5 linked regions of the Macaca fascicularis genome follow. The protein of the gene in region 1 purifies or fractionates together with the protein of each later gene. This does not show direct contact. Links are inferred from orthologs where the notes say so. Each region holds a gene or a part of one and is shown on either strand. Other genes may lie near its edges.

The links.
Region 2: the proteins of SMARCA2 (region 1) and SS18 purify together in Homo sapiens (affinity purification with mass spectrometry; 6 studies listed by BioGRID and IntAct, counting the BioPlex papers as one, with this or other methods). This does not show direct contact. The link is inferred for Macaca fascicularis from reciprocal best matches to the Homo sapiens genes SMARCA2 and SS18.
Region 3: the proteins of SMARCA2 (region 1) and BCL7C purify together in Homo sapiens (affinity purification with mass spectrometry; 4 studies listed by BioGRID and IntAct, counting the BioPlex papers as one, with this or other methods). This does not show direct contact. The link is inferred for Macaca fascicularis from reciprocal best matches to the Homo sapiens genes SMARCA2 and BCL7C.
Region 4: the proteins of SMARCA2 (region 1) and BCL7B purify together in Homo sapiens (affinity purification with mass spectrometry; 3 studies listed by BioGRID, with this or other methods). This does not show direct contact. The link is inferred for Macaca fascicularis from reciprocal best matches to the Homo sapiens genes SMARCA2 and BCL7B.
Region 5: the proteins of SMARCA2 (region 1) and DPF2 purify together in Homo sapiens (affinity purification with mass spectrometry; 6 studies listed by BioGRID and IntAct, counting the BioPlex papers as one, with this or other methods). This does not show direct contact. The link is inferred for Macaca fascicularis from reciprocal best matches to the Homo sapiens genes SMARCA2 and DPF2.

Annotation. Positions count from the first base shown.
Region 1 is NC_088389.1:97,177,292-97,182,363, reverse strand, and holds the start of SMARCA2 (probable global transcription activator SNF2L2), read left to right. Parts: upstream 1-1,835; 5' UTR 1,836-1,975; intron 1,976-5,072. UniProt on the Homo sapiens protein: ATPase involved in transcriptional activation and repression of select genes by chromatin remodeling (alteration of DNA-nucleosome topology).
Region 2 is NC_088392.1:63,737,872-63,742,317, reverse strand, and holds part of SS18 (protein SSXT), read right to left. Parts: intron 3,739-4,446; coding exon 3,571-3,738; intron 2,929-3,570; coding exon 2,824-2,928; intron 183-2,823; coding exon 90-182; intron 1-89. UniProt on the Homo sapiens protein: Appears to function synergistically with RBM14 as a transcriptional coactivator. Isoform 1 and isoform 2 function in nuclear receptor coactivation. Isoform 1 and isoform 2 function in general transcriptional coactivation.
Region 3 is NC_088394.1:29,025,952-29,030,235, forward strand, and holds the end of BCL7C (B-cell CLL/lymphoma 7 protein family member C), read right to left. Parts: intron 2,337-4,284; coding exon 1,983-2,336; 3' UTR 953-1,982; downstream 1-952. UniProt on the Homo sapiens protein: May play an anti-apoptotic role.
Region 4 is NC_088377.1:52,421,359-52,426,369, forward strand, and holds the start of BCL7B (B-cell CLL/lymphoma 7 protein family member B), read right to left. Parts: upstream 3,395-5,011; 5' UTR 3,270-3,394; coding exon 3,178-3,269; intron 2,923-3,177; exon of another isoform or gene 2,730-2,922; intron 1-2,729. UniProt on the Homo sapiens protein: Positive regulator of apoptosis. Plays a role in the Wnt signaling pathway, negatively regulating the expression of Wnt signaling components CTNNB1 and HMGA1.
Region 5 is NC_088388.1:9,035,743-9,040,188, forward strand, and holds part of DPF2 (zinc finger protein ubi-d4), read right to left. Parts: intron 1,231-4,446; coding exon 1,070-1,230; intron 647-1,069; coding exon 539-646; intron 214-538; coding exon 50-213; intron 1-49. UniProt on the Homo sapiens protein: Plays an active role in transcriptional regulation by binding modified histones H3 and H4. Is a negative regulator of myeloid differentiation of hematopoietic progenitor cells. Might also have a role in the development and maturation of lymphoid cells.

The sequences.
Region 1 (5,072 bases):
CAAGTCATGACATCAGTTCTGTTTTCAGTGACAACAAAGGCCCAAGCTGCCATCAGAAGCATCTCCCGGCTTCTTTGAGTGGTCTGAGGCTTTATTCTATAGATACAGGGTTTCATCTAAAAGTCAAGCCAGGTACCAACCAAGTGGCTTCTGCAGCAAGGAAGTGGAGGACAATCTCCTTCTTCATCTGCAGGACAAGGGCTCTTGATATTGTGATGATTTCCCTTTAAGTTTATTCAGGAATCAAGGACCACACCACATGAGCCCTTCAGGCAGTGTGAAAAGGCTTTGATTTGTTTTTATTCACTTAACTTGTACAGTGCTCCCAGCAGGTTTGAGCAAAACCTGAGATTCTTACTGAGGTAGAGGACCAGACAAATCAGTTTGACCTTGGATCATGCACCCTTAGCTTTAATGGTAGAATCTGGTGATAGAGACTAGAAACACCATCACATTCATAAGACCCTATCAGGATTTAACTGTATCTTAGAACCAACCAGAAAAAAATGTTTAATAGAGAATTCTTGCACTGTCCTTAGAGATCCTTGGACCAGAATGCAGAAAGGAGGGCACCATTCTGTGATTTGCCTCTGCAACTGGGGATCAGATCATGTATTTGCTGGAGGAAACAATAACTTGGCAAACTCTCTCTCCTCTCTTTCCATGTGCTAGGCAAGTGATGAAAGAGGAGTGAGGCTGACTTCAGCTCTGTCACAGATGTTGACTCACCACTGGTCTGCCTTCTCTCTCCCTTGCCACTCCCTTCCTTCTGCCAAAGTTAGCATGCTGGATCAGTAGGATGCAAAGCTGCGCATGACCCTTTTTGGGGCTGGACACTGTCATCTGGCCAGATAAACTAACAGGCTAGCAAATCCAGTTGGGGCTGGTTGTACTTTGCCCACGTCTGTTGCAGCATATGGTGCATTCACTTGAAGTGACTGACAGAGCTATTTAACTTTGCAGTTTGTTCGTCTGATGCCCCTACCCAAATACCACACATACTGTCACATATTGGTGAACAGTCTTCAGTGTGGTTGCAATTCATGGCTATCATAAGGGGAATACTTTAAAATTGGATTTGAGCTCCATAGTTCCTAAGATGGCAGAGCTGGACAGAAACATTTGGAGACATACCCTTTAATTGGCCCCATAAATTTATACAGAAAGAAATTGAAGCAGAAAGATTGAGTGACTCCCGCAAGGACTCACACAGCCAGTTAGTATTAGGACTAGAGCTAGAACCTTCGACCCTGACTTCCAACTCAGTGTTTTTTCCAGCTCAGGCTGTTCACATGTTGCCTTTCATTTTATCTCCAAAATTTGGCCCCTTGGAACCTTTCCTGGAATTGGACTTCTGAGCCTAAAGTGGCTTAATGCACACTTTTGGGAAAGGATAGCCAGGAGGCCTCTAAGTGGTTTTGATCAAGTTTGCCAGTATTTACACCCTAGGATGATCTGCATAAACTTCATAAATAATGTAAATTCCTACAAAGTGAGTTAACAGTGAGCTACATGGTCTTTTGAAAAATCCGTGTTATGCAATCACCCTGGCAAAGTTAACAACGCAATAGAGTACTGAAGGTAACCACTGATTGCAGTCACTGCTATTGACCATTTTAAGTGTGACTATTTTTAAAATACTGTATGCCTCATTAAGCTGGGCTCTGAAAATGAGGAATTTGCTTTAACTGCATTGTTTTGAATTGCTGAGAGAAGAATCTATCAACCACAAGGTGCCCTGCTGCTGAACTCAGCCAAAAAGCTGTTAATAACTCCAGCAGATGTTTCAGCTTTTTAGGCCAATAGACTCCCTTTCTCCCTGCCCTCCCCTTTCCAGAATCTGATGCCAATATGACTGAACTCCAGTTTTTGTGGTGGTTGTCGCCACCGCCGCCGCTGCTAGGGCCGGTGATACAATGCCGCTGAGGAATGATCCTTTAAACAACCGGTGGCCACAGAACCTCAGCCCTTTAAGGTCAGAATATTATTGCTTTTACCATCAGAAATTTAAATCTTCAGGGGGGAAATGAAGGTAAGGGCACAAATTCAGTATCTTTGTTTTGTTGTCTGCCTTCATTGCTAGTCATTTTGTTTAGCTTTTTGTGGCTTCTCCCAATGCTAAAAGTGCATTTCTCAGACTCATCAGAGTGCTGGGCTTGCTAAGGTTAAGGGTCATTCATACACTGGAGGCTCCACTGATCCGGGAGAGAGGTTCTTGGGTTAGCAGCTTTACAAAGGGGGCCTCTGCGTGATGCACAGTTTTGTGTGGTTGTATGCCTGATACCGTGTGGCTCAGATGCCCTGACCTTAGCACTTCTGCAATATTAGATGTGAGTTTTATAAACACAGCTACATCCCTGTGAGATAGGTAGAGTATGAGGGCACACAGGGTCACCGCAGTCCCATACCAGGATTTATCAACATCTCTGAACTGGGATAAACCTGACATTGTCACCTGAAATTAAATCTACATTCCAATCTTTCCAAATGAGAAGACGTTAGAAATAAAGGCGGAGGAGAGATCCTGCCCCCTTCCCTGACACTTCCTGCCCTGCCTCCTACTCAATTATTTTGGAGAGGGTGCTTTAACACACCCTGGTGACAACAGGGTGACCAAGAAAACACAGGTGCACCGCATTATGAAATGCTGTGTTGGCTAGGAACACATCTGAACTGCACATCTATACACATCATCATGCAGAGAATTGCCATTTCAAGGGGGGAAAAAATGAGAGGCAGAATTAAGTTCATAAATATTTTGTTTCCTTATTTTGATGCAACACAAAGCCAGAATATCCAGGACTCTGTGGACCTCTATTGTCAGCTTCAACATTTGCCAACCATAGTAATTCAACCCCCAAATCTCTGCTGTATGCCATACTGGCTGTAAAAAGTAAGTGCCTTTTCCCTGGTGTCGCTGCCACCATACTGTTTGCATGCTCTCAGCCCTGTATCATTCTAATTCTCAAGAAAAGCTCAGGAATACAACGCAAGCCCCGCCGCCCCATCACTTTTTTAACTTGGATAAAGAAATAGATTACATTGTGACTTGGTCCACATTCTCTTAAGTACATGTGCAGAGAACTCATTAATGCTAATGGAATTTGCGCATATGCATTGAAGGGAGAATATAGTTGCCCGTGCCTGTGTATTCTTTATTTTCTTACTGTACACTTGAGGGTTCTGTGGCACCTATAGCTTCTAATTCTGAAACATGAGTAATTCAGATTAAAAAGTATACCATTCATTTTGAAATATATTTCAAAAGCAAATGGGATGGATATTTCTGCTTAGATCACTATGATTCCAAGAAGCCAATACCAGATGATGATTCTTTAGTAAAATAAGCAACCAATGTTGTAATAATAAAATACGGTTAAAAAAAAACAGCAAAAACTCGCTACTGAATCAGTAGAAAATATATTCTCATTATTTAAAAAATACCTACAAAATAACCCACATGCATGTCTAGGGGAGTAAAAACACAAGATGATGGGGTAAAAAAGAACTGAAAATAATCATAGGTAATCTGAGACTCCAAGCCTGCCAGCAGTGAATATTGGTGACAGGCATTAACAAACTATGTGGGGATGTCTGAGGCCCAGCTAAATCCAGACCATGTACTTCATTAGGTCTTGAACTTTACCTGGAATCTTGTACTGCAAATGATGATTTCCAAACTGTTTTGTTCTTGATTATTTCCAGTCCAAGTAAAATGGACAATAAAGAAAAGATGCTTCCATGCTGTTTCCATGATGGATGTTCACAACCAAAATAACTTCACCATCTGATGTATTTCACAGTTTTAAGTTAAAACAGACATACTATAATATGCTTGTACATCTGGCTCAGGTGCTTCATTTGCCATATGTTTGTGAAATAATCCAAGGAGATGTTACAATTGTACGTTCCCCTTGGGACTTGAAGAAAATGTGCCCACAAAGAGTTACCTAATTATTCATTCCTGCCAACAACATCCTCTCCTAATAAGAAGGTGGTTCTTAAAATGAGACAATAGTGCTTTCAGTCTTGAGAGATGTCAGTACCACTTATTGTTTCAGAAACAGAAAATCTTATGCATTTTTTAAAATAAGAAAAAGATCTTTGGCCTTTAAAGCAAATAAAATACTCTGCAGGCGGTATATTTGGTATTCTTGTGGGGGCAAATTCTGCAGCGCTGATCAAGGCCTATTATTTCCTGAAACTCATTGAATTAAAGCCCATGAAGCCACATAGAAATTAGTGACCCAAAGTTGATAGTCTCTAAGGAATGGCTGCTCTGGCAATACTATACATTTATGGAGAACTTTGTAATCGGCAAATTGCTTTCATATATGTTACCACATTTAATTCTTATAATAATTTTGTGAAGCAGGTAAAAAAAGGCATCCCTTGTTTAATCATGCCACTTGTAGTACTGATTCTTCACAGCACTAATAAGCAAAATATGAACATCTTTTTTTAAAAAAATTGTAAATTACTTTGGTCTTTACCAATAAATACCACTTGCCATAGCACACATTTCTCTCTTTAAGAGTCATTGACAATCTGCTTTTTTCCCTCTTTTCCTGTTATTTGCATCCTTCTAAACTATGACTTTTTCTGATTCTATTTTAATTAAAAATTTGATTTTCTTTTGAGGATTAAAAAGTAGAGGGAGAATTCGTTTATTGGTTAAAATACAAGCTAACCATCAAAATTCAGATTTTAATGAGGCCCTAAGCCAGGACAGAAGTCAAATGCGTAAAGCATCTTCTAGGCCTAGCTTCATCCATTAATAAATCAATTTGGAAAAATGTGGCAATGATGAAATTATCAGCCAATAAACCTCCAATAGTGTGTTAATTGTATATTGACTGAAGTAACAAATTACATGGGGGTTGAATTTTCACAGGGACTGGAATAAAAGACCCTAAGTAGGCAGATTAAGTTACAGTTTCTTTTCCCCCTGAAACACAAACCTCAGTGTCAAACAGGAAACAAAGGATGAGAGACAGAGGGTAAGAGATTTGCCTCAGGTTACCCAGCTTGCAAATGGGAGTCCATGCCAGATCATCTCCCTCCACAGCGCT
Region 2 (4,446 bases), on another chromosome or scaffold:
TTTGCATGGGTAGAAGTTGTCTTATGCAAGAATTTTCATTCCTGTAGAAGGGGATATATATGTGTATGTGTGTGAAGGTATATAGATACCTCCTTCGTAGTAATGTTGTGAGGAATCCTCATAAGGCCTATCGTAGCCTTGTTCAGGATACGACGGTTGCTGATAACCGTAATCATTATGACCTACATCAATTCGACAAGAGACAGGAAGAAACGTTAATGGCCACTGAGTGAAAACCCTAAAAATATTTAAACTTTCAGATAAAATTGAAAAAAAAGGAAAAGAAATGGAACATAAAAAATAATTTCAATTGCATTAGCCAAAGATTTACCAATGTGATTGTTTTCATATTGAGATAACGTGCAATTTTTTTAAAAGCAAAAAGCAGTAGTTTTAGAAACATTACACTTATTGTTTTAAATCTGATAATCCTCATTGAGGGAAAAAAAAAAAAACTATCTCCCATTTTAAAAAAAGAGAATAAAAGTATCTAGGTCTTTCACATGTAAATAACCTAAATTAAATTAGAATGAACAAAGGAAGTAATTATCATATTTTGTCAAACACCTGTTCTGCTGGTCTCCAATTCCACAGCATATGCTAAAAACAATGCAAAATATAAAAGAGCTCCATAAGTTTCTCCCCTGAAAGAAACTGAAAAATTTTCATGTTCTAACATTTACTTGCATAAACTTAAGTATCTCAAAGTATCTTCAGATACAAAATTATATATCTTAATGCTGCCATTTTGGAAATCTTTAGAAAATATTTCAAGTATCATAAACATACATCTTCATAAAATTAATATTGTGTTGAGAGTATATCTTCAGTTTTAAAGCACAATAAATTTTACCTTCGAGATAATTGGACTCTAGTGAAAAATAATAGTCTCACTCTCTTTTTAAGTTTCACTAAGAAAATGTAGGAAATAACCTTTTAGTTATCTAAAATCTAAACTCAATTTTACAAAAATGCCTAATTAAGGACACAGGAATAAAAATTACAAATAAACATTATTCAGTGCTCTAGTATTCTAATGTTCCCAAGCCACCTCATAAATAGCTACATGAAGGGTTGGCAAACTATGGCCTACAGTCTTAATATGGCCAGTGGCATGTTTTTGTAAATAAAATTTTATTGGAATACAGTCATGCCCATTCATTTCAGTATTGTCCACAGCTGCTTTCATGCTACAATAAGAGTTCAGTAGTTGAGACCAAGACCATATGGCCCACAAAGACTAAAGTATTTATTATCTGGCCCTTTACAGAAAAAGTTTGCCAATTCCTAATCTATATATTTACTAACATAAATATCCGGACATGAGAGAAAAGAGCCAATGTTGTTTACAAATATTAATTGTCGATATAAATAGAATACTCTATGTAAATGTCAGATATAAAGTAATACACACCTATGCAAAAATGATACCCTTCAAATTAAAATCCACTAATAAAATGAAAGAAAGTAACCTTAACGTTTTGATATTCACAAAATAACAAACCAGTATATTTTGAACAGAAAGGTTATACTATAACAAAACAAATTTCACATTTCAAGAGACAGCCAGGATCAAAATAACAATGTCAAGTTTAACTCTTTAAAATGTAATTAAAATTTAAAAACATAGAAACAATCATTTATTTTCAGCCAACTTCTCAATACATATAATTTAACAAAGATTTCACATCTTTAAAATATGTATAGCTTACAACCTTACTAAAGTTTTTAATTTTAAAAAAATCTTAATACCATGTTTACATATGAAAAGAAAAACAAAACAAAACAAAAACCAACGTCCTTAAGTACAAATGTACCTTTATGCTTTATGTATTAATAAAAAATGACAGGCGAGATTTTTTTCAAATATCCTAAATTATACCTTCTTGCTAGCTTACATGGGCTGCTAGTCAATGTCTGCTAGTACTTTAGCTTTAAGTTTCTTAGTTTCTCTGTTCAGTAATTTATATTTACATCAAAGGATCATATATGTGAACAAGGCTTTTGGCAAATCCTAACAACCCATACCATTTTGTAATGTATTTTTGAATTACTTTTTTCTTCTACATTGTATTACAAAATTTCCAAGCATACAGAAAAATGGATGAAACTATACTGTGAAAACCTACTTGTATGCTTGGATTATTGCTATTCAAATTTTCCTAAAGTACTGTGCATCTTACTAACCAATTTTTCACAAGCCACCTTCTACAAAAAACAAAAAACCCTAACTAAAAACCTTATTTCCAAATGCCTGTCCCATTCTACTCAATCTCTACACGGCTATATTATGGATATAATTTGGTCTCCCAAGTTTTTCTCAAAGGCAAGCACTAATGTAAACCTTAGTTTGTTGAGAAGTATGAAACATTAATTAAAATGATGAGACTTGGAAAAATAACTCAAGAACTATATTCTCTATGTATTTGTACAATGAATACAAGTCAACTAAGGGTGAACTTTATGTTATGTGAATTATATCTTAATGAAGCTCTTATTAAAAAAAGAGTAAATCAATAAACACAAGCTTTTGCTGAAATCAAACAACCCTAAATATATTACAAAAGGATCCTCTTTTATATAAGGATTCCAATGACAGACTGTGATTCCTGATGGTACTAATGGAACAGCTACACAAAATACACTTTGAATTAGATTATAAACTAATGCTATCATTGGTACTTTAGAGTACTGAAGTGTTTCTAAATTTAGAAGAAACAAATTGTTAGCTTCTTCATCCTCATTAAAATGTTTTTATATAACTCTCTACATGAATACTAGGCAGAGATAGAAAGTGGGAAAGTTAACATCAGGAGAGATTACCATCAGGGTAATACTGCTGGTTCATGCCTTCTGGAGGACCTTGTCCACCATGACTGTATTGGTCCCCATAATAGTCTTCCTGGCCTGAGTACTGCTGTGGTGGGCCTGAAAAATGACAACCAGTCAAGAAATAAATAATGTATTCTCTATGTCATCAAAGGCTTTCTTTCTAATTTGATATGAAAGATTATTTCTCAACTATAGATTCCTGTCTCCTGATACCTGCATTTCAGATACCTTTAGCTATTCATATACATACGCATACAGATACACACAGAGCAGCTCCACATACCACATTTACTAAAATCAATGTTAAGACCATACATGCAATATCAAAAAACACCAACTCAGAAAAACAAACGCTAACTTCTTAAAAATAGGTTCAAACTGGTAGCAAATGTATTTCCTTTGCTGTGAGGTAAAATTGGGTTTATTCCTGATCCTTTATTTAATAATTTTTCAAAAACAAAACAGTATTTTCTGTTGTAAATTAGTGAGCTTTTGATACATAATTTTATGATATAACTTTTTCCAGAAAATAATAGATAAAAAGAAAGCTGTGTATCAAGAAGTTCTTATCTACTTTGTGACAGCTTTGTACCTAGTAGAACCCTATCATTTGTTAAAAAAACAAAAAAAAGAAGAAAAACGAAACAAAAAGTCCTGACTTTGTCTAGATTAAAAGGTCATTAAAATGTACAGCCTTTCAATTACATGAGGTAGCAAATTTTCCAAATGGAATCTCACCCTGTTGAGGAGGTCTATAGGGAGGAATCTGTCTCTGACCCATCATATGATTGCCTTGATTAACTTGACCCATCATTCCCATGGGTGGCTGCTGTCCTTGGTAATGCTGTCCGCCTCCCTGTGGCATATTGTATTGCTGAGAAGGAGGCTGCTGATGCATCATTGGACCTGAAACAAGACACAACATTATATACATAATTTTTTGTATATAACTTTAACATCTCAAGAGAAATAAGATAATCTTTTATCATATAGTCCCCAAAATATATAATGAAATGCAGTAAAAACTGATTTCAAATAATAAAAATAAGTCTTTGAATTAAAACTCACATGCCTAAAATAATCTGCAAACAAAATAAAATAACCAGTCCATGGTGGTTAACTTGAAATCCGGCCGGGCACGGTGGTTCACGCCTGTAATCCCAGCACTTTGGGAGGCCGAGGAGGGCGGATCACGAGGTCAGGAGATCGAGACCATCCTGGCTAACACGGTGAAACCCAGTCTCTACTAAAAATACAAAAAATTAGCCGGGCGCAGTGGCAGGCGCCTGTAGTCCCAGCTACTTGGGAGGCTGAAGCAGGAGAATGGCGTGAACCCGGGAGGCAGAGCTTGCAGTGAGCCAAGATTGCACCACTGCACTCCAGCCTGGGCAGCAGAGCGAGACTCTATTTCAAAACAAACAAAAAAACAAAAATCCACTAGAAGATAATTCTTAGTCATTTTTTAAAACAAAATGACATAATATATGAACATCTTGAATGTATTTTCCATTACACACTATCTAATATTTATCTATACCATCTTTCTTGAGAAGATATCATCCTCATGCTACACTGGGAAATACACCAAAAGTAAACTTTACAAAATCACACAGC
Region 3 (4,284 bases), on another chromosome or scaffold:
GAAACCCCATCTCTACTAAAAATACAAAAAAAAAAAAAAAAATTGAGCCGGGCGTGGTAGCAGGTACCTGTAGTCCCAGCTACTCGGGAGGCTGAGGCAGGAGAATGGCGTGAACCCAGGAGGCAGAGCTTGCAGTGACCAGGCTGGAGTGAGTCACTCCAGCCTGGGTGACTGAGCGAGACTCCGTCTCAAAAAAAAAAAAAAAAAAGAAAAGAAAAAAGAGAAATATGCCTTCCAAAGTGCTGGGATTACAGGCATGAGCCACCACACCCAGCAAACACATCTCTTATAGTTACTTTTGCATGGCATATCTTGTTACATCCTTTTACTTACAAACTATCTCTGAGTATAAAGGCACCATATACAGTCATGTGTTGCTTAAGGATGGGGAAACATTCTGAGAAATGGGTCATGGGCGATTTTGTCATTGTGCAGACATCATGGAGTGTAGTCACACAAACCTAGATGGTATAACCTGCTACTACAAATCTAGACTGTATCATATAGACTATTGCTCCTAGGCTACAGATCTGTACAGCATGTTACTGTCCTGAATACTATAGGTGACATATATAATTTTGTAACACGATGGTAAGTATTTGTGTATTTAAACACAGAAAAGGTACAGTAAAAATACAGCGTAAAAGATAAAATGGCATGCCACGCTGGTATACCACGGTATGCCATGGTAAGTACCTAGGGCACTTACCAGAATGGAGCCTGCAGGACTGGAAGTGGCCCTAGATGAGTTAGTAAGTCAGTAGGGAGCGAATGTGAAGTCCTAGAACATTATGGTACACCATTGTAGGCTTTATGAATGCTGTATATATAGGCTACATTAAATTTACAAAGAAGATTTTTTCTGCAGTAATAAATTAATTTTAGCTAACTGCAACTCTTGGTGCAAATGTAATTGCGGTTTCGGACCATGAATTTTAAATCATTATAACTAGGCTCAAACACATCTTTATTAATCAAAATTCATACCATTACAATCAACCATTCCAATCAACACATTTTTACAATCAACACATTTTTTCCAGTGAGAAATAAGTTTGTTTATTCCTGTATCGTAATAATCTGTGCTTTGGGATTCAGAAAACTCTTGGAAAGCATTTTCTGCATCGTGCTGGGTGTGGAAGCGTTTTCCTTGCAAAAAACCGTTGGGATGCGTGAAGAAGTGGTAGTCAGTAGGCAAGAGGTCAGGTGAATATGGTGGATGAAGCAAAACTTCATAGCTCCATTTGTTCAACTTTTTTTTTTTTTTTTTTTTTTTTTGAGACAGAGTCTCGCTCTGTCACCCAGGCTGGAGTGCAGTGGCATGAGCCACCACAACCTCCACCTTCTGGGTTTAAGCAGTTCTCTTGCCTCAGCCTCTCGAGTAGCTGGGATTACATGCGCCAGCTATCATACCCAGTTAATTTTTGTATTTTTAGTAGAGACGGGTTTCACCATGTTGGCCAGGCTGTTCTCGAACTCCTGACCTCAAGTGATCTGTCCACCTTGGCCTCCCAAAATGTTGGGATTACAGGCGTGAGCCACCGTACCCAACCTCAACTTTTGAAGCGTTGGTTATGCGATGTGTGGTTGCTGTCATGGAGAATAACTGGGCCCTTTCTGGTGAGCAATGCCACAGCAGGCCTTGCAGTTTTCCGTGCATCTCATCCATTTGCTGAGCATACTTCTCAGATGTAATGGTTTCACTGGGATTCAGAAAGCTGCAGTGGATCAGACCAGCAGCAGACCACCAAACAGTTACTGTGACCTTTTTTTGGTGCAAGGTTGGCTTTGGGAAGTGCTTTAGAGCTACTTCTCAGTACACTCATAGAGCTGGTTGTTGCCGGTTGTCATATAAAATCGACTTTTTGTCGCACGTCACAATCTGATCAAGAAATGGTTCATTGTTGTTGCATAGAATAAGAGAAGAAGACACTTCAAAATGACTTTTTAAAAAATATTTGGTAAGGTCATGAGGCACCCACTTATTGAGCTTTTTCACCTTTCCAATTTGCTTCAAACGCCAAATGGCCATAGAATGGTCGATGGTTGAGTTCTTGGGCAACTTCCCGTGTAGTTTTAAGAGGATCAGCTTCAATGATTGCTTTCAGTTGGTCATTGTCAATTTCCGATGGCCGGATGTTATGTTCCTCATCTTCAAGGCTCTCATCTTCTTTGCAAAACTGCTTGAACCACCACTGTACTGTATGTTTGTTAGCAGTTCCTGGGCCAAATGTGTTGTTGATGTTGCGATGTATCTCTGTTGCTTTATGACCCATTTTTAACTTGAATAAGAAAATTGCTTGAATTTGCTTTTTGTCTAACATCATTTCCATAGTCTAAAATAAATGTAAAATAAACAGCAGTAATAAGTCATTAAAAAAATAAAGTGAGAAATGCCCATTAAAATGATGTATAACATAACCACATTTATTTAAGAATGTATTCCAAAATCAAATGGCAAATTCCAACAATTACTTTTGCACTCACCTAGTAACTTTATACATTTTTTTTTTTTTTTTTTTGGTGAGATGGAGTCCCGCTTTGTCGCTCAGCCTGGAGTGCAGTGTCGTGATCTCGACTCATGGCAACCTCCGCCTCCCGGGTTCAAGCGATTCTCCTGCCTCAGCCTCCCAAGTAGCTGGGATTACAGGCGCATGCCAACACGGCTGGCTAATTTTTGTATTTTTAGTAGAGACGGGGTTTCACCATATTAGTCAGGCTGGTCTCGAACTCCTGACCTCAGGTGATTCACCCGCCTCAGCTTCCCAAAGTGCTGAAATTACAGGTGTGAGCCACCTCACACACCCAAACTTTTTAATTTTTTAAACTTACTGACTCTTTTGTCAATAAACTTATTAATAAATGTTATTACACTTAAAGTACACATTGTACAGCTGTACAAAAATATTTCCCTTCTTTATATCCTTATTCTAGAAGCTTTTTCTATTTTATTTAATTTATTTATTTTTTGAGACGGAGTCTTGCTCTTGTTGCCCAGGCTGGAGAGCAATGGCATGATCTCGGCTCACCGCAACCTCCGCCTCCTGTGTTCAAGCGATTCTCCTGTCTCTGCCTCCCGAGTAACTGGGATTACAGGCGTGCGCCACCACGCCTGGCTAATTTTGTATTTTTTTTAGTAGAGATGGGGTTTCTCCATGTTGGTCAGGCTGGTCTCAAACTCCTGACCTCAGGTGATCCACCCGTCTCGGCCTCCCAAAGTGCTGGGATTACAGGCGTGAGCCACCACGCCTGGCCAACTTTTTCTATTTTAAAAAGTATATTTTTCAATATTTTAAACTTTTTTGTTAATAACTAAGACACATATACACACACACACACATCAGCCTAGGCCTACACTAGGTCAAGATCATCGAGATCACTGTCTTCCACCTCCACATCATGCCCCTCTGGAAGGTCTTCAGAGGCAGTAACACGCATGGAGCTGTTATCTCCTATGATAACACATTCTTCTGGAATTCCTCCTGTAGGACCTGCCTGAGGCTCTTCTTGAGGGACTATCACTCTTTCAAAAAATGTCCATAGTGGTTTGCTTGGTTTCTTTCTTTTATTTTAATCATACATTTGCTTGTAAACAGATAATGCACCACAAGCATATCTCTCTATTAATGAAAACCATTCAGTGTGGGGGTCCATGTTTTCAACGTTTTAAGGAGTTTGTTGAGGTCTGCAGCAGCTTCTGCTAAACCCTTCACTGTGAATTTTCTTCTGGGTTTTTCTTCTCCTGCAGTTTTTTTTTTCTCTTGCCTCTTCTTCAGCTATGTGTTCCTGTTCCAGTTCCAACAGCTCCTCGTTAGTCAATTCCTCAGGAATTACCTCTAAGCACTCTACCGTGTCATCCTCATCCACACCCAGGTTAAAATTATTTGCCACCTCAACCACAGCTTTATTGATTTTTGAAACCTCCTCATCCTTGACAAATACTTTGAAGTCATGGACCAACCTTTTGACCGTCTTCCTCCAGATGGCATTCATACCGCATGGTGACATCACCCCAAGTCTAAGCAGGGTTCTTGATGCAGTCACAGATGTGTTGTAATCCTTCCAGAATTGTCTCAGTGTCTGCTCAGTGTCTTCCTCAGCTGCAGCAATCACCTGGGCAAAGGTCTCCTCAGGTAATAGGCCTTAAAAGCTGCTATACCTCCATGATCCATTGGTTGAAGCAAAGAGGTGGTGTTTGGAGGGGAAAACACCACCTAGATATTGGGATGAATATCACCAGTAAAAGGAGGATGTACGGGAGCCTTATAAACAATAAGCAAAATC
Region 4 (5,011 bases), on another chromosome or scaffold:
AAGAAGGTTATTCCCTAAGCATGCCAGGCAGAGAACGAATCTGCTTATTGTAAGGTCCACTGATACCTTAAGAGGTGCTTGCTGTCAGTAGGAACAAGGGCCAAATGCAGAGAACTGCTTTGTCACAGATCTGAGCCAACTTCTCAAAGGGTCAAGTCCAAATGTGAAGTCACGAAAAAGCAAAAAAAGTAACTGCTGTTGTAATTGTTGATGTTGTTCAGCAAATGATGACGGCAGCTCACGCCTGTAATCCCAGCACTTTGGAAGGCTGAGGTGGGTGGATCACTTGAGCCCAGGAGTTCGAGACCAGCCTGGGCAACATGGTAAAATCCTGTCCTCACTAAAAATACAAAAATTAGCCGGGCATGGTGGCACACACCTGTAATCCCGACTACTCAGGAGGCTGAGGCGAAAGAATTGCTTGAACCCCAGAGGCGGAGGCTGCAGTGAGTCAAGATCACACCACTGTACTCTAGCCTGGGCAACAGAGCAACACTGGGTCTCAAAAAAAAAAAAAAAAAAAGACATACTGGGAGTGTAAAAAGACTGTGATGTAACAGAAGGAATGAATTAAAGTCTTAGAAAATAACTAGAATTCCTGAACAGACCACTCCATTTTCTCATTTATTCAACCAATTAGTCTACAACAGGCTGTGCTAGGACCTGGCGATGCAGAGAACAAGATCCATGGTCCCTGCCCTCACAGACCCTGTCTTATATCTGGAAACAGACATGAATAGCTCAATTCAGGATTAGTCACTTAATTATTAGGTTTAACCATATCAAATTGCCATTTTTGTAGGTTAATTAGCCAAATACAGGAGACCAGATGCAGTGGCTCACATCTGTAATCCCAGCACTTTGGGAGGTCGAGGTGGGAGGACCACTTGAAGTCAGGAGTTCAAGACCAGCCTGGCCAACATGGTGAAACCCAGTCTCTACAAAAATACAAAAATTAGCTGGGTGTGGTGGTGTACACTTGCAATCAGCTACTCAGAAGGCTGAGGCAGAATTGCTTGAACCTGGGAAGCAGAGGTTGCAGTGAGCCAAGATTGCACCACTGCACTCCAACCTGGGTGACACAGCAAGACTCTGTCTAAAAAGAAAAACAAAACAGAAGTCAAATATAAGAAATGTCTTATGAGTCCATCTAATACAATCGTGGAAAGTTCTGTGAAGGGGACTTGATCTAGATTGGGAATCTCAAGTGGTGAACCTAAGGAAGCAACTTTTGAGCTGCGCTAGGAGTTAACTCAGCAAGAGGGAGGAGAAAAGAGAGGAAGAAGAATGCCAGGCGGCAGGAAGAGCAGAGTGACTTCACTGGAAAGACGGTGGGCATCCTGGGAAAGAGCCAGCCAAGTGAGGCAGGAAGGAAGGCCTTCTTCGGTATTTATCCTAAAAGCAAGAATGGAACCACTGAAGCATTACTAGGGGTGCTAGCATAAGATGCACATTTTATATATTTTTTACAGATGGGGTCTCGCTCTGTTGCCCAGGATGGAGTGCCATGGTATGACCATAGTTCACTGCGGCCTCAACTCCTGGGCTCCAGCGATCCTCCCACCACAGCCTCCCAAATAAAGCTGTGCACTTTAAGATCACTCTGTAACTCGGAAGAGAGAAAAATAAAATCACTCGGTGACAATGAACAGATTGGGGAATGAGCAAGAGCAGCAGAGAGAGAAGAGGCTGGTACAGAGTTCCAGGTGACAGAGGACGGCCCTTGAGCCTAGCCTGCTAGGGGCGGGGGGTCAAAAATGGGGAGAAGAGAAGGGTGTGCCTGTTCTCAGGTTTCACCAAAATCTTGGAGGATTAAAGGTGGACGAGGAAAACCATGAATAAATTAAACTATTTATACGGAAACCCAACTATATATGAAGCCCTCAGACATAGAAAGAGAAGGAACTTCCCTCTTGTGTGGAAATGGACAGATAAACACACAAATAAAGGTCAATGTACCAATGATCTTAAAGGGAGTAAAGGGTGAGGGGTGGGAGACGTTAAGGAAGGCTTCCTGGCGGGAGGTAATATCTACTTGAACTTTTAGTTTTTGTAGAGACCGGGTCTCACTATGTTGCCCAGGCTGGTCTCAAACTCCTGGCCTCAAGCGATCCGCCCGCCTCAGCCTCCCGAAGTACTGGGATTACATGCCTGAGCCACCTCACCTAGCCATACTTGGGTTTTTAATAATGGGTAGTAATTGGCTATACAAAAAACTTGACAAAGTTGGCTATGAAAGTTTAACGTGATGACTCTGATACACACCGACACAGTGTGTATCGGAGATCTGGATACAAAATACGTGCTCAACCGGCGTCTTCCATGCACATTTTAGACATGGGGTCTCTCGCCGTAGCCCAGGCTGGAGTGCCGTGGCACGATCATAGCTCACTGCAGCCTCCAACTCCTGGGTCCCAGCAATCCTCCCACCACAGCCTCCCAAGTAAGGACGTGCACTTTAAAAAGACCACTGCTACTTGGAAGTGAGAAAAATAAAATCACTCAGTGCAGACGATGAACGGGCTGGGTAATGAGCAAGAGCAGAACCAGAGAAATTAAAGGGAGGCTGGTACATAGTTTGCAAAGGACTCTCCTGACAGCCGTCAGGGCAGCAAGAGAAAATGCCTACCAAGCTCGCGGCGCAGGGGCCGGGTTCTGGGGGAAAGTGAGGGGTTTTCCTTTGGATGACACCAGGCTTCCTCCCTTAACAGACAAACCCATAAACTCACCCAACTTCAATGCCTGAATACGCAGAGCTCTCAGCCTGGCGGGTTGAAATCACTCCAGGGATACTCGCTATTATCAAGGGCCAGCTTGGAAACGCAGGCGGGGCCAAAACCCAGGAAGAGTGGAGGGCGGGCCCCCGGCTGGGCCGGGCGCGGCGACACCGAGGCCAGGCGGCCCCAGCACGGGCCGGAAGCCGGCATCCCCTCCCGGGCAGCGCGCGACCGCAGCCGCAGCAGGTGGGCGGGCCCGCGAACTGGGCGGCCCGCTGATTGGCCGCGGCCGGCGCGCCCTCTGACCTCACGCCGACGCCAGCGGCGCCCTCCTCCCGCCTTCTCCCGCGTCCCCCTCCCCCAGCGCCGGCCGGTCGGCTCCCACCCGACTCGCCAGTCCCGCGCTCCTCAGGGCCTGGACCCGCGACCCCCGCCAGCCCCCTAACCTCCGGCCCCTCACCATTTCCGCACTTTCTCGATGGCCGCCATCACCTTCTTGATGTCGTCTTTGGCCCGGCTGCGGGTCTCCGCCCGGACCGACCGGCCCGACATGGCGGCGGCGGGAGCGGCGGGGGCCAGGGCACTGCTCCCAAGACACCGGGTATCGCGCGCCTCGCGCCGCCGCCCGCCCGCCGCCGCCGCCGCCGCAGCGTCACCGCGGCCGTCGCCCCCTCTGTGCGCGCGTGCGCGAGGAAGCGCGCGCACCCGCCCGCCCCTTGGGGCTCGCGGCCTCAGCGCGCCTGCGCGCCCCGCCCGGGGCGTCCCTCCTGAGCGCCCCGGGAGTCCCCTGAGCCCCCACCCGGGCCGGGGTGCGAGGCGGGCCGGGCGCACGTGCTGTAGTCAGGGCGAGGTGTGAGGTGCTGCCGGTGGGCAACTGATTCTTTTCCCTGGGAGTTTGGAGGTCGGCTCCCTGCTCTGGCCAGCGTGTTAGGGACCTGACCCTGTGGAACCGCGCTCCTGCGCTGTCTCTGTCCTCCCGCCTCTCCTGTCCAGCACCTTTGCCCTCTGGCTCTGCCGCTGTGCTCCAACCACGCCTTTCTTCGCGTTTCTTCAGGATGCCTTCTGGCCTTTGCACATACCTGTTCCTCACCTGGAATCCTCTCCTCTCTTCACCAGATGAACTGCTTTCCCAACATTCAGACCACATTCTTGCCTTTTCTCGAGTATCTAGTAGTCTCAAGTATTCGGGAGGCTGAAGCAGGAGGATCACTTGAGCCCAGGAATTTGAGGCTGCAGTCAGCTGTGATATGATCGCACCTGTGAATAGCCACTGCACTCCAGCCTGGGCAACATATGGAGACCCCATCTCTAAAATAAATAAAAGATGCCTATTTTGTGCAGGACTCTGTACCAAAAACTGAAGACATACGTGGTTTTGGTTTCAAACAACTTCCAGTTTATTTATTGAGACGGAGTCTCGCTCTGTGGCTCAGGCTGGAGTGCAGTGGCATGATCTCAGCTCACTGCAACCTCCGCCTCCTGGGTTCAAGTGATTCTCCTGCCTCAGCCTCCAGAGTAGCTGGGATTACAGGCACGCACCACCACGCCCAGCTAATTTTTGTATTTTTAGTAGAGACGGGGTTTTACCATGTTGGTCAGGCTGGTCTCGAACTCCTGACCTCGTGATCTGCCCGCCTTGGCCTCCCAAAGTGCTGAGATTACAGGCGTGAGCCACCGCGCCTGTCTTTTTTTTTTTTTTCTGAGATGGAGTCTCACTCTGTTGCCCAGGCTGGAGTGTAGTGGTGTGATCTCGACTCACTACAACCTCTACCTCCCGGGTTCAAGCAATTCTGCGTCTCAGCCTCCCGAGTAGCTGAGACTATAGTCGCCCGCCATCACACCCGGCTAATTTTTTTGTATTTTTACTAGAGATGGGGTTTCACCATGTTGGTTAGGCTGATCTTGAACTCCTGACCTCGTGATCCACCTGCCTCGGCCTCCCAAAGTGCTGGGATTACAGGCGTGAGCCACCGCACCCGGCCCAGTTTATTTATTCATGTGGAGATGGGATCTCACTATGTTGTCCAGGCTGGTCTCAAACTCCTGGTCTCAAGGGATCCTCCCGAAGTGTTGGGATTACACGCATGAGCCACCATGACTAGCTGAGCTTCCAGTTTAGTAGAACATTCAGACCAAACAACAACAAAAATAACCATTTATTTTTTACTTTTACTTATTTTTTGGTACAGGGCCTTGCTTAAGTGATCCTTCTGCCTCAGCCTCCTGTGTAGCTAAGACCACAGGTGAGGGCCACCATGCCTGGCTGCCCTTTTTTTTTTTTTTTTTTTGTAGAG
Region 5 (4,446 bases), on another chromosome or scaffold:
GAGGCTGATTTCCATCAAAGCTCCCTTAGCCACAGGGATAATCTTGTACCTTTCGCGCTCGACTGTTGGTCACAGGAAACTCGCCCAGGCTGTCATCATCAACTCGGGGATCCGGGGCGCCTCGCTTCTCCAGGGGGTCAGTGCGCAACAGAGCCTCTAAACTACTGCCATCCTGAGAGATCAGCCCCTCCTTCTTCAGGGTTTGGTCTGTGTCTGCAAGCAAGATCAGGATGAAGCAAAGCTCAGAATGGCTGAAAGCAGACTGCTCTGAGTCCACATAATGCTAGGGCTTACCAAAGGTCTGTCACTGTCTTTTGTTCCCCGGATGCCCAGGAATTAAGACACCCTAGTTCACTTGGCACCATAACTTATCTGTTTACCTGTCTCCCCTTCTAGACTAAGCTCTTTAAAGGAAAGAATCACATCATATTCACTTGAGTATATTTGGGATCTAGTACTGGGCCTGGTATATCGTAGTGATTAGCAGGCTCTAACCATGCAGCAGGCCACGCCTCTGCGCAGGAAGTATGTGCCTTACCTGGCTTAATAGATGGGAAGGAAAGTCGTGGATCCTCAGGCGGATGGGCTCGCCGCTTTTTCCGCCAGCGCCGGGCAGGGTAGGAGTACAGCTGTCCAGAGGCCAATCCTACGGCAGGAAGAAAGATAGAAGTCAGGCCCTAACCCAGTATTAGAAAATAATACCAAACACTTTCTAATTACGTAGTCTCCCCCTTTTGAGTTCTAGAGCAAGGGAGGAATTCTGACAGTGAGGGCCTAGGGGGTTAGATGGAACAGTCTGTGGAAAAGAAAAATAGATATATAAGCTTAGGGGCCTTGGCTAATACATAGTTCTCCAGACACACAATGGCCTCAGCAGGGTAGAAAACAAAGATGCTGGTATCAACCTATCTGCTTCATCCTCCCTGCGTTTCTAACCACAGGAAGACCATATTCATCCATAGGTGGAAGGCAGTAGGGAAAACCCTATCAACTGTCTCATCACCTAAGATGAGGAGGCTTCTTCCTCCTTATGCTCCTGAGTCCCCTTCTCCCAAGTCTGGACCCTCACCTGGACCCCGGTGTCGCTTTTCCATCCAGATGTAACAATTGCTCTGGGCTACTCCGGTCTGTGAGTCCAAGAAAGGCAGGCGCACGCTGCGCTCAGCACAGAGGCGAGCGTTGTAATTGTGGCACTGCTCCATGGCATCTTTGTAGTACTGCTCCCCAAGGCTGCAGAGAAGATAGAAACCAGGCGTGTGTGTTGGAGTGAGGAGCATAGGGTGCTGAGCTATTCCTCTCCCCTGTCATCTGCTTCTCTAGAAGGCTCAAGGGACTGGGAGGCTGTCTCTTCCATTCTATTTGCCTCCACTTCTGCCTCACGGGACACCAAGCCCCTTTTCTAGGCCACCATTAGGAATTACTTTACGAATAAATTACTATCAGGAACACATGATTTCATCATATGTCTAATCAGACTTAAGTCTAACCCCCAAAGAGGGTAAGGAACTAATGTTCACTCCATGTGTCTCACAAGCCCAGCCCTGTGCTAGTTAAGATGTTGTTTCTCTTAACCCTTATGACGCTGAGAAGCAAACAATAGTCCCCCCTAAGTTCCTCCTTATTTCCTCCTTCCTAGAATCACCTCCCAAATAAACTACATGCTCCCACATCCTTGCCCCAAGGTCTGCTCCAGAGGGAAAGAGTTCAAGGTCTAGGGGGCTTATTAAAATGTATTCAGCAAACTAGTAAATCCATACAATGAAATTCTATTTAGCCATAAGAAGGAAGCTCTTCACATACTGATATTAAAGAATTTCAAGTTAACTAGGGACAAAAAGCAAAGCAAGGTACACTGCTGAGAAGTGTCAAAGAAAGCTATCATTTATGTAACAAAATGGAAAAGAAACTGCAGGTCAGCAGGGAGAAAAAGTGGGTGACTAGGCCATTTCCTTCCATATGCCTTTTTATAGCTTTTGAATTTTGAACTAGGTTTTTAATCAACTAATTAATTTTACATTTATGGAAGATATCTACAAGTACCTGAAGTTCCTTGAAGTTTTTATTGAGCGCCATCACTGATAAGAAACTTGTTTGCTCTAAGGCCCATCTTAGGGTGCTTCTCTATTCTTACAAAATAAAATTATATAGGAAAAAATCTCCTTGGTCTCAAAAGACTCAATTTGAAATCTGAATCAAGGGTAAACCTTTAAGTGGAAAACTGGAAAACTGCACAGTGCCAGGTTCTAAGAAGCATGTACGTAGAACCTATCTTGTTCTCATCTTGCAGGGTTTAACCAGGACTTTGGTAATGGAGGTTAAACAAACTCTATCAGTTCATATTTATATTCAATCAATCTATGTTGCCCAAGCTAGACACAAACTCCTGGCTTAAGTGATCCTCCTACCTTAGCCTCCCAAGTATCTGGGAATAGAGGCATGTGTCACAGTACCTGGTGTCAATCAATCTTAAACCAAAGGCAGAACTGATTTCTTTCTCATAGTATCTCCAATACTCACGAAGATGTCTGAGATACAGTCAGACCTGACTTGAGAGTAAAAAGACCTGGCTGGCCTGCAAGTCACCACATGAACATGGACATTTAGTCAACCCAGGTGGACCTTGGCTATTCTTCTATAGATTGAGGAGGTTGGACCAAATGAGCTTTGACATATCAGGATTTTACAAGAAACAGCCTGGGGATGAAACAGCAAACAGATTAAGTCTCTGTGGTTTCTGTCCATAACTCGGGCTACACCAAAAAATCCTGATCTGGAATGTGATGGGGGCCTTCAGCGAGCAGCCACGATAGACCACTGCATAACTTACCATGTGCCCAGCAAGTAAAAAAGACATATAGCACACACAGAGATGGCAACGCCACAAATACGGCCTGGTATGATTCAATGAGCTGTAATGACTGTAATCTGAGGTAGGCACGAATCTCACGTTGGAGAGCAGAATGGAGAAAGCAGCCTCGCCTCTGCGAGCTCGCCTTTAGGAGGCAGCCACGTCTTCACCACACAGAATAAAACTGGATAAACAAGGCTGAGTGCCGCAGCTCCTTTGTTTCTGCTGATGGGAATTGATACTGACACTGGAAGTCAAATGGAAGGCAGGGCCAGGCTGGCGAGGGCTGCAAAGTCAGAGCAAGGAGGCTGGAAACAGTATTGGGAGGAATGAATGAAAGATGTTCTGTCAGGGCTCTTGTGAGCTACGTGGGATCTCAAAAGGTAAAGCAAACAGTCTTGGGGATACAAGGGCTGGGAATGAAACATGGAAGTGTTTGTGAGGGGAGAATCTGATGAAGAGAGAACAGGACAGGATGAGGGTGAGCTCTTAAGAACTTAAGGGAGGCTGGGCACAGTGGCTCATGCTCCATCACTTTGGGAGGCCAAGGCCGGTGGATCTCTTGAGACCAAGACTTAGAGACCAGCTTGGGCAACATAGTCAGATCCCATCTCTACAAAACGTTAAAAATAAATAAACCATCAGCTAGGTTTGGTGGTGCAGGCCTGTGGTCCCACGTAGTCCCTGGGGTGGATGAGGTAGGGGAATCATTTGAGCCTAGGAAGTTGAGGGTGCAGTAAACCAAGGTTATACCACTGCACTTCAGCCTGGGGGACAGAGGGAGGCTCTGTCTCTTAAAACAAAACAAAACAAAACAACAACAACAAAAACTTAAGGCTCCAGTACCAAGAAATGTCAAGTTAACATTAACACTGTTCTCTCTCTCTCTCTCTATATATATACATATATATCTTTTCGAGACAAGAGTCTTGCTTTGCCGCCCAGGCTGGAGTGCAGTGGCGCAATCTCGGCTCACTGCAGCTTCTGCCTCCTGGGTTCCAACGATTCTCTTGCCTCAGGCTCCCGAGTGGCGTGCGCCACCATGCCCAGTTAATTTTTGTATTCTTAGTAGAGACAGGGTTTCACCATGTTGGCCAAGCTGGTCTCAAACTCCTGACCTCATGATCCGCCCACCTCGGCCTCCCAAAGTTCTGGGATTATAGGCGTGAGCCACCGGCCCAGCTTCATTTTTTTTTTTGAGATGGAGTCTTGCTCTGTCACCCAGGTTGGAGTGCAGTGGCGCAATCTCGGCTTACTGCAACCTCCACCTCCTGGGTTCAAGCGATTCCCCTCCCTCAGTATCCCGAGTAGCTGGGATTACAGGCGCACGCCACCACGCCCAGCTAATTTTTGTATTTTTAGTAGAGTGGGGTTTCGCCATGCTGGCCAGGATGGTCTCAATCTCCTGACCTTGTGATCCGCCCGCCTCGGCCTCCCAAAGTGCTGGGATTACAGAGCCACCGCGCCCAGTCGCCTCTTTCTTTTTTTTAAGACAGAGTCTTAAAGTGTCACTCAGGCCGGAGGGCAGTGGTGTGACATCAGCTCACTGCAACCTCCGCCTCCTGGGTTCAGGCGATTCTTGTGCCTCAGCCTCCCGA